Linked DNA regions of Mus musculus. The protein of the gene in region 3 interacts with the protein of the main gene of each other region in a pairwise test. Links are inferred from orthologs where the notes say so. Each region holds a gene or a part of one and is shown on either strand. Other genes may lie near its edges.

What was found.
Region 1: the proteins of Rnf11 (region 3) and Rnf168 interact in binary tests that used the Homo sapiens proteins (3 or more experiments, as listed by UniProt). The link is inferred for Mus musculus from reciprocal best matches to the Homo sapiens genes RNF11 and RNF168.
Region 2: the proteins of Rnf11 (region 3) and Ubqln2 interact in binary tests that used the Homo sapiens proteins (3 or more experiments, as listed by UniProt). The link is inferred for Mus musculus from reciprocal best matches to the Homo sapiens genes RNF11 and UBQLN2.

Annotation. Positions count from the first base shown.
Region 1 is NC_000082.6:32,275,815-32,280,480, forward strand, and holds the start of Rnf168 (E3 ubiquitin-protein ligase RNF168), read left to right. Parts: upstream 1-1,646; 5' UTR 1,647-2,294; coding exon 2,295-2,601; intron 2,602-4,666. UniProt on the Homo sapiens protein: E3 ubiquitin-protein ligase required for accumulation of repair proteins to sites of DNA damage. Acts with UBE2N/UBC13 to amplify the RNF8-dependent histone ubiquitination.
Region 2 is NC_000086.7:153,496,796-153,501,251, reverse strand, and holds the start of Ubqln2 (ubiquilin-2), read right to left. Parts: upstream 3,021-4,456; 5' UTR 2,799-3,020; coding exon 882-2,798; 3' UTR 1-881. UniProt on the Homo sapiens protein: Plays an important role in the regulation of different protein degradation mechanisms and pathways including ubiquitin-proteasome system (UPS), autophagy and the endoplasmic reticulum-associated protein degradation (ERAD) pathway.
Region 3 is NC_000070.6:109,452,255-109,456,243, reverse strand, and holds the end of Rnf11 (RING finger protein 11), read left to right. Parts: intron 1-1,821; coding exon 1,822-1,993; 3' UTR 1,994-3,387; downstream 3,388-3,989. UniProt on the Homo sapiens protein: Essential component of a ubiquitin-editing protein complex, comprising also TNFAIP3, ITCH and TAX1BP1, that ensures the transient nature of inflammatory signaling pathways. Promotes the association of TNFAIP3 to RIPK1 after TNF stimulation.

The sequences.
Region 1 (4,666 bases), on a different chromosome or scaffold from region 3:
TTGAAGGGCAATTAATCAATTGAAAGCATGAAATAATAGGGGTGGAGAGATGACTCAGTGGCTGAGAGCATGTATAGTTCTTCCAGAGGACCAGAGTTCCACTCCCAGCACCTATGTCAGTGTCTCAGCCACAGCTCCAGGACAGTCTTGCTACTTTCTGCCAAGCTTGTGGGCCTTAAGTCGTTAGAAAGGAAGCTGAAGACCTCAGTGGACTGTGACACAGAAAGAAGTATAAATGCCAAGTTGTCACAGATCTGAGGAACAGAAACCATAACCAAGGCAACTCTTTCTTTTTTTTCTCTCTCTTTTTTTGGTTTGGTTTTTCTGAGACAGGGTTTCTCTGTATAGCCCTGGCTGTCCTGGATCTCACTTTGTAGACCAGGCTGGGATTGAACTCAGAAATCCACCTGCCTCTGCCTCCCGAGTGCTGGGATTAAAGGCGTGTGCCACCACGCCTGGCCACAAGGCAACTCTTATGACAATATTTAATCAGGGCTGGCTTACAAATTGAGAGGTTCAATCCATTATCAAGGTGCCAGAGCATGGCAACATCCAGGCAGGCATGGTGCAGGAGGAGCTGAGAGTTCTACATTTTCATCTGAAGGCTGCTAGCAGAATACTGCTTCCAGGCAGCTAGGATGAGGGTCTTAAAGCCCACACCCATAGTGACTCACCTACTCCAACTGGGCCACACCTTCTAATAGTCCCATTCCCTGGGCCAAGGATATGCAAACCATCACAGACTCCAACTCCAGGTCCTCCTGTTTCTGCCTCTGCCTTTGCTACCTAAATGCCTCAATTACAAGACACACGTGTCCATGCCTAGTTCAGAGGTCCTTCCTTCCTTCCTTCCTTCCTTTTTGAAACAGAGTCTCTTACTAAACTCACTGTATAGACCAGGCTGATCTCTACCTCACAGAGACCCTCCTGCCTCTGCCTGCAATGTTTTGGGAACCAGCTGACCAATTGAGGAAGGGTCTCATATAGCCCAGGTTGACCTGGAACCAGTTATGTAGCCAAGGCTAGTTTATAATAATCCTTTTGTGACTACTTCCCAAATGCTGGGATTGATTATAGAAATGGGTCTCTTGTTGAGTTCTTCAGACTCCACATACCAAACCCAATAGGCATTTACTCATGCTAAAGTCTGGGGTAGAGGGCCCAAGCCAAGCACCCCCAAAACAAGAGGGAAAGCAATAACAGCCAAATCTCTACATTGCTGTTTTAGCCAGTACCATAAGGATATCACCCCCACCTTATTTAACCTTTACAAGGATTCTTTGAAACCACAGGTGTAACTCTTTGTTGCTGCTCTCCTTGAGCGTCACTTGTCTATAAGGCCAATATCTGCTGCTCATTCTATAAAATGCTAGTGTTGCAAATAAATGCTAAGAAAAATCTTTAAGGTAAATTTGTTGTAATTTCTTCTTTTAGCACTAAGAACTTTAGAAAGCTTTGTTAGGAGAAGGGTAGCCTAAAGAATACTGAAAGAATAATTACAAAAATTCCTGTTCGGATCTTGGTTTAGAGAGTTACTTGAGTAAGCAAGATTCTGCAGCCTACAGTAGCCGAGCGACCAAAAGCGGGAGGAGTTGCTACTAGCAGGCTAGGCGGGAACGCAGACGCAGCTCCCGGAAGTCCCGCCCGACTGAGCGGTTCCTTGGGGGAAGACGTGCCGTTTTGGCGGGGAATTGTGACGTCCGTGGAGCCCGGGTACCTGCTCCGGCCGCGGCCAGTAGACCGATTGGCAGGACAGCGGGTGCGAGCGGCTGGGTCTCGGGACCCGGGGGGTACCGCGAGGTGTTCCAGAAGCTGGAGCGTGGGCACTGGAGGGCTGCCTCCACCGCAACGGCGAGACGGAAGTCCCGCGGCGGCCCGAGCCCGGATTCCGGGCGGTACCGGGTGCTCTGGGAGCGGCGGTGCCCGGGCTTCCGGCTCTGGCAAGCCCGGCCGCCTCGCGCGTAGAGGCGGGTCCTCACCGCGTAAGAAGGGGAGCTGGATGAGCGCTTGTGTGGCGCGGGGAGACAGAACCACTCTCCGCCCCGAGGCCGCCGACTCCCGGAGGAACGTTCTTTCATTCCCTTGCTGGACTCAGGGCATAACTGTTGACCTGACATCACAGCTCCTGCTTGTCTCGGGCCCGTGGGAACTCAGGCCTTCTGGATCTCAGTCCGCTGCTGTGTGTGAGAGTAAACACCAAACGGCTCGCTGCTTTTCTCCGTTCTGGGCGTGATTAGGCGAAAGACGACTTTAGTCCCTTTCTGATTTTAACGTTGGGTAGGTCTCATTAGCATATGAAGATGGCTGCACCTAAAACCTCCATCCCTTCCTTAGCCGAATGTCAGTGCGGGATCTGTATGGAAATCCTCCTAGAGCCTGTAACCCTACCTTGCAACCACACGCTCTGTAACCCATGCTTCCAGTCCACTGTTGAAAAGGCCAATCTATGCTGTCCCTTCTGTCGTCGCCGGGTCTCTTCGTGGACTCGGTACCATACCCGAAGAAATTCTCTGGTCAATACAGACCTGTGGGAGATTATTCAAAAACACTATGCAAAGGAATGCAAGCTTAGAATCTCTGGACAAGAATCAAAGGAAATCAGTAAGTAAAATTAAGCATGTTTATTGGGTAAAACGGCCCAAAATCCCTTTGAAAGGGAACCATTTTTGTTTTTGCTTTTCGAGAAAGGGTTCCTCTGTGTTGCCCTGGCTGTCCTGGAACTCACAATGTAGATCAGGCTGGCCTCGAACCCAGAGATCCACCTACCTCTGCTTCCTGAGTTCTGGGATTAAAGGTATGAGCCACCATCGCAGGGCTCGAACCATCATTTTCTAATTTAAAGAAAAAGAAAAAGAAGGCTAAATAGTCTGAATCGTGAGGATTTGTGGTTTTATAAGCCCTGCCCACACATCAGTTAAAGTCAAGGACAGAGTTACATCACGTGTAGTAATGGTCAAGTTGTGTTCATCTGCTGTGAATTAGGGTTTTTTTTTTTTTTTTAACATTTTTTTAGACATGTTTTGAGACACAGTTTTATTACTGTGTAGCATGGGATAGCCTTAGCCTCACAAATACTGGAGTTGCAGGTGTGCTATTACACACCTGTCCTTTATAATGTAGTAGTATTAGTGAGGGTTGCCCTTTATAAGGGCAGAATGGTAAGTATTTTTGTGGACTATATAGTCTACTGAAGACACTTGGTGAGCTCTGCCACTGTAGAACAAAAGCCACCGTAGTCAATACATTAATTTACATTACCCTTTGTAAATGAAGATAGTGCCTGTGTTTCCATAAAACTTTATGAAAAACAAAAAGTGGGGGGGCAGATTTGTCCTGTCAATGAATCATGGCTAAATAGCCCCTGTCTTAGAATATCACTATTACTGTTCTTAAGAACAATTCTTTATCTGTGGAGGTAGCAGAATTAAATAATTGCAGATACTTCGGAAGGGAAAACTTGAGATTTCTTATTTTTTAAAATATGTATTTAGAGTGTGTGAATGTAAGTGCCTCATGTGCATGTGGTGCAGAAGAGGCAGGAGAACTAGAACTGAGTGACAAAGTTATAGGTTGTCATGTGAGTACTTGGAACCAACCAAACCCAGGTACTCTGGAAGAACAGTAAGCATTCTTTTTTTTTTTTGAGACAGGGTTTCTCTGTGTAGCTCACTCTGTAGAGACCAGGCTGGCCTCGAACTCAGAAATCCTTCTGCCTCTGCCTCCCAAGTGCTTGAGTTAAAGGCGAAAATTTAATTTTTTGTAACCCAATTGAAAGATTTTTTTTGAATATATAGTTCTGTTTTCAGGTGGCTCAAATATGAAAAGGAAGGCCCTTCCTCTTAATCGCCTTTGAAATATGAGAACATATTAGTACAAACTTGTAAAATGTATAAAAATAGTAGGACAAAAAGGTAGAAGTGTCCAAGTGACATCAATGGATGGATAAACTAAATGTACATATCTGCAACAGAATATATTGCTCTTTCATTAAATGGAATTGTTAAAGTTGTAATGTGGGATGAAGGCTTTGTTCTAGCTGTCATTACTCAGGTGATTCCATATGGAGAGCATTAACGACATCATTGGATCAGTCCACTGATAAGTTTATCCCAGCTGGGCTGTTAGGTGAGGCCTGTCTGGAGGAAGTATACTGGAAATGCCTGTGACAGGTTTGCTTTTTGACTGCAGTTGAAGTGGGCACCTCTCCTCTACCAAGCTTTTTCACAATCATGTTTCTGCCTTGCACAGGCATAAAACCATAAATGCAAACCTCTGAACGAGCCAAACTAAATCTTTTCTCTCTCAAGTTATTTATGTGATGCATTTTGCCATAGCAAAACACAGGAACACAATTGACAGGTTCCAGATCATGGAAATAAAGAGGTGCAGACCAGCCTAGCCTGAAATCATAACAGTCTACCTGTTTCTTCCTTCAAGCTAGGACAAGAGGCCTGTGTTACTGTAAGACCTGGGGTAGGCCACAAATCCCAGACGAGCCCCCGCATATAAGACCCCCCCCCAAGCTGGGCCTCTGCTCAAGTCCCCGGATGAGCTGGCCGGCACCCCAAAGACTCGAGAGAAAATCACACCTGATGCAAACTGCAAGAGGTTTTATTTTCAGCTAGCTGAGGACGAACTCCACACGCTGAGCAAGGCAGGGGAGTTC
Region 2 (4,456 bases), on a different chromosome or scaffold from region 3:
TTACACTGTAAGGTTTCTGTACAATTTAATGTATACTTAGAGAAACCAGGATAAACATTTCTACTATATTTTAACTGAACTTGCCTAGCCAACATTTTCACTGAGAAATTTATCAAATATGCTGTAAGATTCTACAAAATTGTGAGACATACCTAGCTTCAGGAATATTTCTTATATTCTTTCTTATTTTGGTTACACATATTCTGCTCAGAGATTCTACAGTAATACTTCTAGATGTACAATTCCAATTGTGCTTACTGTACTGTGTACAAATAGCAAAAACGATCAATGAATGGTATAAATCTTACAGCATTTGCTAGCAAAAATACATGCCAAAGTCACAATAAGCAATATTTTACCACAAATTAGAGAGCTTCAAATAATTTGCTTCTGTTTTTTTAATATCTTCATTCTACATTAAATTACTATCATAGGCTAATGTTTAAAATGCAAATAAACTGGACATCTGTAGGACAAAACTTGTTCACCCAACTGTGAAGGCTGATACCTGTTTCCAAAAATCACAATAAATGCAGAATAAAGAGAAGTGTTTGCATGCAACACCTTTGAGTGAAACAGTATTGATTCCCACCATTCAAATCAGAGAAGGAAGGAAATCAAAAGAAGAAAAGAAAGGAATGAAGGAAACAAAGAGGGGAGAGGGCAGGCTGGAAGGGAAGGGAGAGGGTGGGGGGAGGAGGAGCAGGGAGGGAGGGAGGGAGGGAGGGAGGGACTCCACCTTAAAATGCATCCTATTAGATTTATAGGTAGACAGATTTAAAAGAATCAAAATAAAAGTAAAGCACAATTTTGTGTGTTTAAAGATTTAAGAGCCATTATCAAAAATAAGATACATTTTTTTTCAAGGTACAGAAACGTAATTAGGATGGCTGAGAGCCCAGCAGCCTCTCAATGGCCGCGTTGATGTCGCCTCCTGTTGCTATTAGGGCCTGCAAGTTTGCTTCGCGGTTTAAGAACCCCATGGCGTTGAGCTGTTCCAGTTGCTGCTGAAATCTCACTTCAGGATTCGGCGGCTGTGGAGGGCTTCCTCCAGTGAGAGCCTGCACCATTTGTTGAATGAACTGCTGGTTGGGTCCAGATTCCGAGGTTGGACTTATGGTTTCAGTAGGTGCAGAGCTGGACACAGTGGTTGCAGGCGGGATGCCAGTGCCGGTGGAGCCGGGGGAGCTTGCAGGGCCAGTGGGTCCTATAGGCCCGATGGGGCCTATGGGGGTGAAAGGAACTATAGGGCCGATGGGCCCTATGGGAGTGACTGGGCCCACAGGGGTTATGGCGGTTCCCAGCACTCCCATCCCCACACCTGGAGCGAAGCTGGGAATGAGGCCAGGTGCTTCAGTGGCTAGAGTCTGTAGCCCCTGCTGGATCTGCATTAGCGCTTGCATCGCTCTCGGGTTTGACATGGCCGCGATGGTTTCTGGATTCTGCATCTGCTGCAGGAAATTCGGGAGCTGTGGACGCATCTGCTCCTGCAGCTGAGGATTCGAAGTGAACAGCGGGCTACTCAGCATCATCTGGGCCGCCATATCTGGATTCTGGCTCAGCGACTGCATCATGCTCCGCATGTAGGGCGCAGACAGCATATTCTGAATCAGCTGGGGATTCTCAGTTATCTGCTGCAGCAGGCTCTGCATTCCTGGGGTGCTGAAGATGCTAGCCACGTAATTAGCTGCAGCCATGGTGTTCCCGGCGGTGGTGCTGCTGGAGCTGCTGCCAGAGCCACTGCCACTGCTTGTGGTCGTGGTGGTGGTGGTGGTCGCAGCCGTCTGGGTTGTTGGCGGTGGTGCCCAAGGATTGGGCAGCGGATCACGATTCTCCGTGCGGGAGGGCTGAGTACCTTCCCCTGAGGTGGAACTGCTCCCCACCGTGGCAAACGGGTTGCCCCCAAACTGCTCCTGTGCGGCATTCAGCATAGGTTCTTGAATGTCAGTGTACATGCGCCGCAGAGCATTGTAGCCACCTGGGATGCTTTCGAGATTACTGAGAGCCAGGTCTTGATTTCGCATCATCTCTTGCATCATGGCAGGATTCCTGGCGATTTCCAGCGTCTGCCTCATTATATCTGGGTTGTTCAGTAGGTGGCTGATTTCTGGGTTTCTCTGGATCAATTGTTGCATCTGTGGATTGGCCATGATGAGCTGCCTCATCAGATCAGGATTCGAAAGCATGCTCTGAACAAAGGGATTTTCCATGATCTGGATCATCATCTCAGGGCTGGCCAGGAGCTGCTGCTGCATCTGGTTCTGAAGCTCGGTGAAGTTGGGCGAGTTCAAGCCCAGGTTACTAAGGCTGGAAAGGCTTCCCAGCCCAAAGGAGCTGCTATTCGTGGTGGTAGGTGTGGAGCTACTCCTGGGAGCCGATGATGTCGTCGCCGCCGGCGCCGCCGCCGTGGTGGTGGTCGTGGTCGTCGTGCTCGTTCCCGCAGTCGTGCTGGGCTGCGTGGTGGCCTGGCCCTGCGGACGGTTCTGGCTTTTGATAACCAGGTGAACAGTCAGTCCATCATGGATGCCATGCTGCATCAAGGTATCTTGATCTTTCAGGATCTTTCCGGCGAAAATCAGCACGAGCTGATCGGTCTGCGATTTGAAGCGTTTGGAAATCGCTTCCTTGAACTGCTGCACGGTGCTGTTCTCGGGCACCGCGAACTCCTCCTTCTCTTTGGGGGTCTTCACAGTGACTTTGATGATTTTGGGCTCGGCCGGCGGGCTGGCCGCGCCTGGGGCCGCCGCAGGGCCGCGGGAGGGGCGCGGGGGGCCGCTGCTCTCGCCGTTCTCAGCCATGGCGGCCGCGGTGACGCAGGCTCACAGGGAAGGCGCTGGCGAGCGAAGAGGGCGCGAGGGAAGGAGGTGCCGCAGCAGCGGACTGGGGCGGCCCGGCGGGCAGCGCGGATCACAGTACCTCAGAGTTGAAGGCTGCGGCTCCTCCCGGTCGTCGGCTGCGCACTCGGCTCGGCGTAGGCCTCGGCTGAGGGCTGAGAGAGCAGGTCCTGCAGGCCGTCTCCGCTGCCGCCGCCTTGTGATCTGCCCGCGCGCACTCCCAGCGACTCCTGCAGCTGCGGCGCCCGCGCTCCCGCCCCGCCCCGCCCCGCCCCGCCCCCGGCCGCGCCCCGCCCCCTGCTGACGCGGCGCCAGCCCAGCGAGCGTCTCGCGGCCGAGCGCAAAACTCCTGCCCTGCAGAGGAGGGGGGGCGGAGGGAGGGAGAGGGAGAGGGAGGGAGAAATAAACAAAGAGAGGGGGGAAGAGAAGGAAAAGGAAGGAGGCTGGAGAGAAAAGCCAGGGGACCAAGGCGAGGCGGGCGAGGCGAGGGGGGAAGGGAGGAGGCCAGGAGGAGGAAGAGGGAGGCAGCTTCTTTAGCAGCCACTGAAAGACCAATGGAGAATGTGGGTTCGCAATCTGGGAGGCAGTGAAAGGATGAAAGCCTGAATTGAACCGATCCCAGGCAAAGGACGAAAAATGAATAGTAAAGAACTCTGACAAAGCAAAAAGGGAGAATGAGCGCCCGGTTGGGGGAAGGGAAGGCATGGCGGGAGCGAGCATTTTACAAAAGAAGCCGAGAAACGGCCAACAGGCTTCTGAAAAGATGAGGCTCGCTCCTAATCAAAGGGATTCAAATAAACACAATGAGATTTTTCCTTCGGGTTTATCATATTGGCAGCGATAAAAAAAAAAAAAAGAACGTTAAACCTTGTTGACCAGGAGCCGAGAAAATGCACTCTCATGCTAGTCGTAGTATGAATTGTTGTAATGGGGCAGTTTGAAAATACAAATGGACATTTTAAGGATTTGCACCTTTGTTTAGAAAGACCTAATAATCAATTCGAAAAGTATATATAAACAACGTGGCATTTTAAAAAATAGCGTTTAGCTAGTTAAATGGGTCTGTGACAGGAATACTATGATTTTGCCATACAATAAAATAATCCCTGTGTCTAAAAGATGGTGGCTAATTCATGTAGTATTACATGTCTCTAAAAAATACATTAAATGCACTGTAGTTAGGAGAAAATAATAGACGATATTTGGGGTTATTTTTTATGGTTTTCTTAACAAATGGAAACAATACATGTGTGTAGGTGTCAGCATCAAAAAGCTTGTAGACTGTATGTGTGAAAAAAATCTGAAAGGCTATACTCCATTATGATAAAGGTAATTATTAGTAAGAGCTGAAATTGTAAATAATTCTTATTTTCTATTTTTATAAGATTGTGAATTTGATGAATAAATATGCATTGCGTTTATGATTTTTAAAAACTACAAATATTATTTTCAGACAAGAGTAAAGGTAAAAATTGACAGGCACACAATAGTCGTGGCAGAAATTAACATAATCATTATGGATTAAATAAAGAAAACAAAAAATGGAGTATTACTGTTATAGAAAACCTGAATTATAGAAGAAATTATTCTGAAATCATTTATTTCTCTTGCTTTGAACACAG
Region 3 (3,989 bases):
CCTCTTCTGGTGCGTCTGAAGACAGCTACAGTGTACTTACATATAATAAATAAATAAATAAATTAAAAAAAAAAAAAAAGAAATACTTAGCCAGGCGTGGTTGTGCACACCTTTAATCCTAGTATTTGGGAGGTAGAGGCATATGGATTTCTGAGGCCAGCCTGGTCTACACAGCAATCTCTAGGACAGCCAGGACTACATAAAGAAACCCTGTATCAGAAAAAAAAAGAAAAAGTGAAAAGAAATACTTTCTTAGGTATATGGCTGTCTTATTTTTCTCACTGTAGTAAAATAACTGACAAAGCTTTAAGGGAAAAAGGCTTTGTTCTGACTCATGAGTTCATGGAACTCTGTCATGGTAGGAAAAGCCTAGCAACAAGACTTAATCTTGTCTGTGTTGGTGGGTCTGTGAGATCACTGCTCACATTGTGCTAACAGACAAGCAGCTGAGAACTAAACTGGAAAAACAGAATGTTAGTAACTTTCTACTGCACTGACCAAAGCTACTTGGAGAAAAAAATAAGGTTATTTGGTTTATAGTCATCAAGGGAAGCTAAGAAAGAAACTGAGGCAGAGACCAGGGAGAAACCATGCTTCCTGGCTTACTCCCAATATGGTGTCTTCAACTTGCCTTTTTAGACTACCCAGGAACCACATGCCCAGAGGTTGCACTGCTCAGTGGTCCAGGCCCTCCCATAGCCATCATTAATTTAATTTAAAAGAAAAACCTCTGTAGATCTGAGTCCCCACAGGCCAATCTGGAGGAATTTTCTCAATTGTGGTTCTCTCCAAAAACTAGCACAAGATGGCTAATAGGCTCCAATTAAAGGGTTTTTTAAAACCTGCCAAACAATGTCATAAGGGGGTCCAAGTATCCATACACATAGGTCTATGGGTGATAGTTACAGCAACAATTAAGACTATTCAAGTTTTTAGTGACACAAGAGATCTTTCATAACTTAAGAAAGTAATTTTTTTCAAGCCTGATGAGTAATTTTATTGTCTTGATTTAATAGGGACAGCTATTCTAATTAAGAATGGCTTTACCAACAAACACAGACCAAATGGGCTTAATGTTTGTCTGTTTGAGCTATAGCACCATTTAATTAATACTGGCACTTAGGAGCAAAGTCTGTTTAGAGCATTGGTTTTGGATCTCTGTAGAATTGGGTTTCTTCAACCTGTAGAAAAGTGTAGTGGACTTGAAAGTGAATTAATGGAGACAGTTTTAACTTGGAGCACACACAGTAGACTGGATCAGTCATTCTCTTTTGCTTTTTTCTTTTGCTTTGTTTTTGAGACAGCCTTCTGTTATGCAGCCCTGGCTGGCCTAGAACTCTATGTAGATCAAGCTGGAGTAAAACTCAGAGAGATCCACCTACTTCTTTGTCCAGAATACTGATTTCAGTGTCCTACCACTCCAGGCATAGTCATTCTGTTTGTATTATTCCTGATTACTTTGAAAACTCTGTAAGGAAGCAATGGATGTAATTTCCTCCCTAAAGCTCACAGTAGATGTCTCTTGTAATGTGTAACAAGTTTAGGCACAGTATGGGTTTGATCCTTAACATAGTCTGTTTTTCTTTGCTCATTTTAGTTGCTTTCAATGCTTATAATAAATTAAGAAATCAAAATGAAATAATATGAATGTTTCAGTGCATGTTAGGAAAAAAATCAGTTTTCATGCTTTGGTAATGAGATAACAGGGAAACTTTAAAAAAAAGTTTTAGGTATATGAATATTTTGCTTGTGTGTATTTAGATTAACATTAACACTGTTTCACTTATGTGAAATTTTCTGATTTCTTCTTTGCTCCCTCAGGTGTGTGATCTGTATGATGGACTTTGTTTATGGGGACCCAATTCGATTTCTGCCGTGCATGCACATCTATCACCTGGACTGTATAGATGACTGGTTGATGAGATCCTTCACGTGCCCCTCCTGCATGGAGCCAGTGGATGCAGCACTGCTTTCATCCTATGAGACTAATTGAGCCAGGGTCTCTCGTCTGACTTCAAGTGAACCATCAGTTTTGGTGGTTTTGATCTTTTGTCACTGAGCCCAAAGAGCCAGGGATTAGGAATTAAGATCATGCACAAAAGTTTCCTAAAAATTCCTGGATGGCTGCAGATGTTGAGGGAAGTATGTGATATTTTAGAAATTTAGGGGGAAAGTAGGATGGATGGTATTTTTATGTAAAGCCTTGACCCAGTGTTTAAAATATAATTGTTATTAGACCTTGTTCTTGCTCCAGTACATAGGAATTGTGTAAAGTGTTACAGCAACTGTACATGTTTAAATTGTGTGTGTTGAAGCTTAGGAAAAAGATAGTTGTTATTTTTCCTAAATGAAATAAGTTTCTTCTCCCACCCAAATTCTTTTCTGAAAAGTTACTGACATTTGGGTCAAGGTTTTATTAAAAGCTACATTTTATAACACTGGCACAAAAAAAAAAAAATAGTAGTTTTAAGCTTGTTTGCACAGTTCTTTTTTTCCATTGGAAATGGAATTCATTGCCTTAGGTCTTTTTAAATAGTGTATTATTATCGTTGGGGCTGGCTCTATGCTTGAAAACCAGTTTATTTATAACCTGTTGTAAGTGCTATATTCTGTTTGCAGTTAGGAAATGCAGAATTCACAGTGATCTCCTAGCTTGTAAGCAAACTGAGATGCACTATCCCTTTTCTATTAAGAATGAGTTGATGTGTCAGGAAACAAGGCTAGCAAAGTGGATTTGATATCCCTTTCCTTGTGTGTCTTATCTTATTGTTTTGGTGGTTAATATGGTGATAATTGAAAGTCAAGTTGAAATTCAAATATTAATATTTCTGATTTGTTGAGCTTTGAATTATGCCACCATGCTTATATAAAAACGAAGGTGGCACCATGATGAAACTTAAAGAAACAGTTTCTCATCTGTAACAGTTTTGATTCTCTTTCCTGTGACCTCTTTCCCCACTGTCTGGAACCATAGCAAAAGGATACTGCATCTCTTGTTACTGTAGTGCTGAGGTTATTGAAGTTACAGAAACACATCTGGTGTGTTTCCTAGAAAAGTACCTGTTCAGTCTTGCTAGGTGACTGACAGGAGAGGCAAATGTGTTATGTTTTGCACACCAATGCAGCAGGGTTTGTATAACCACATGACTTCATAGTTGTGATCTCAAAGGAACTTCTCCTTTATTTTTTCTTGCAATTAATGTAAGAATACTCTAAATCTCTGCACTTCTGAAGGATTAGAGGTAGAAATGGTCTAGTAAAGTGTAATGTTTTATTCATTTAGCATGTGTTTATTTTCCTTATGTTCTCCAGGTGATTCGTTCCTTCCACTCAGTGATATTGTGGTTAAAAAATGATGAGCAGAAGCGCTCTCCACCTTACAAATGAGAAATGTTCTTTTATATTGTGTTGAGTACTTGACTAACACTTTTTTACATACAAAAGTTTCTTGAAGGTTCTTCATAATTGCGGTGTAGAAGAAATTATGTCATAAATAGTTAATTGACATTGAGTTGAAGCAGTCATACATTGCTTAGATTCCCAGTAGATCCCATGATGGAAATATTTAAAGATGAACTTGGAAATACTGAAATTAGACTATCAGGTTCTGTTAAATTGTCTCGTATATCTTGCTTAATTTCTGTTCATTAATTTATATCCATCCAATTATAAAGTAAATTTGGAGGAAACAGCTGAAGTTGTGCCATATTTTTAGTGATAACTCTTTTTAAATTCTTATGTTTTCTAATTATACACTTGTGTGTCATCAAGTATTATAGTCAGACTTTTTTCCCAGGTTCTCAAAATTTGTAAATGTACTTTTCCCAGTCTTTCATGGTGCAGTCTAAGAATAACAACAATAACAAAACCCCCTTCTGTCTCAGATAGTACTGAACTGAGTGCTCTTGGGTGATTCTTATTCTTTTTAACTTTATTCTGCATACAACTATGTTAAGAACCATCAATTTTTGGCATCTACTAAATTGTTA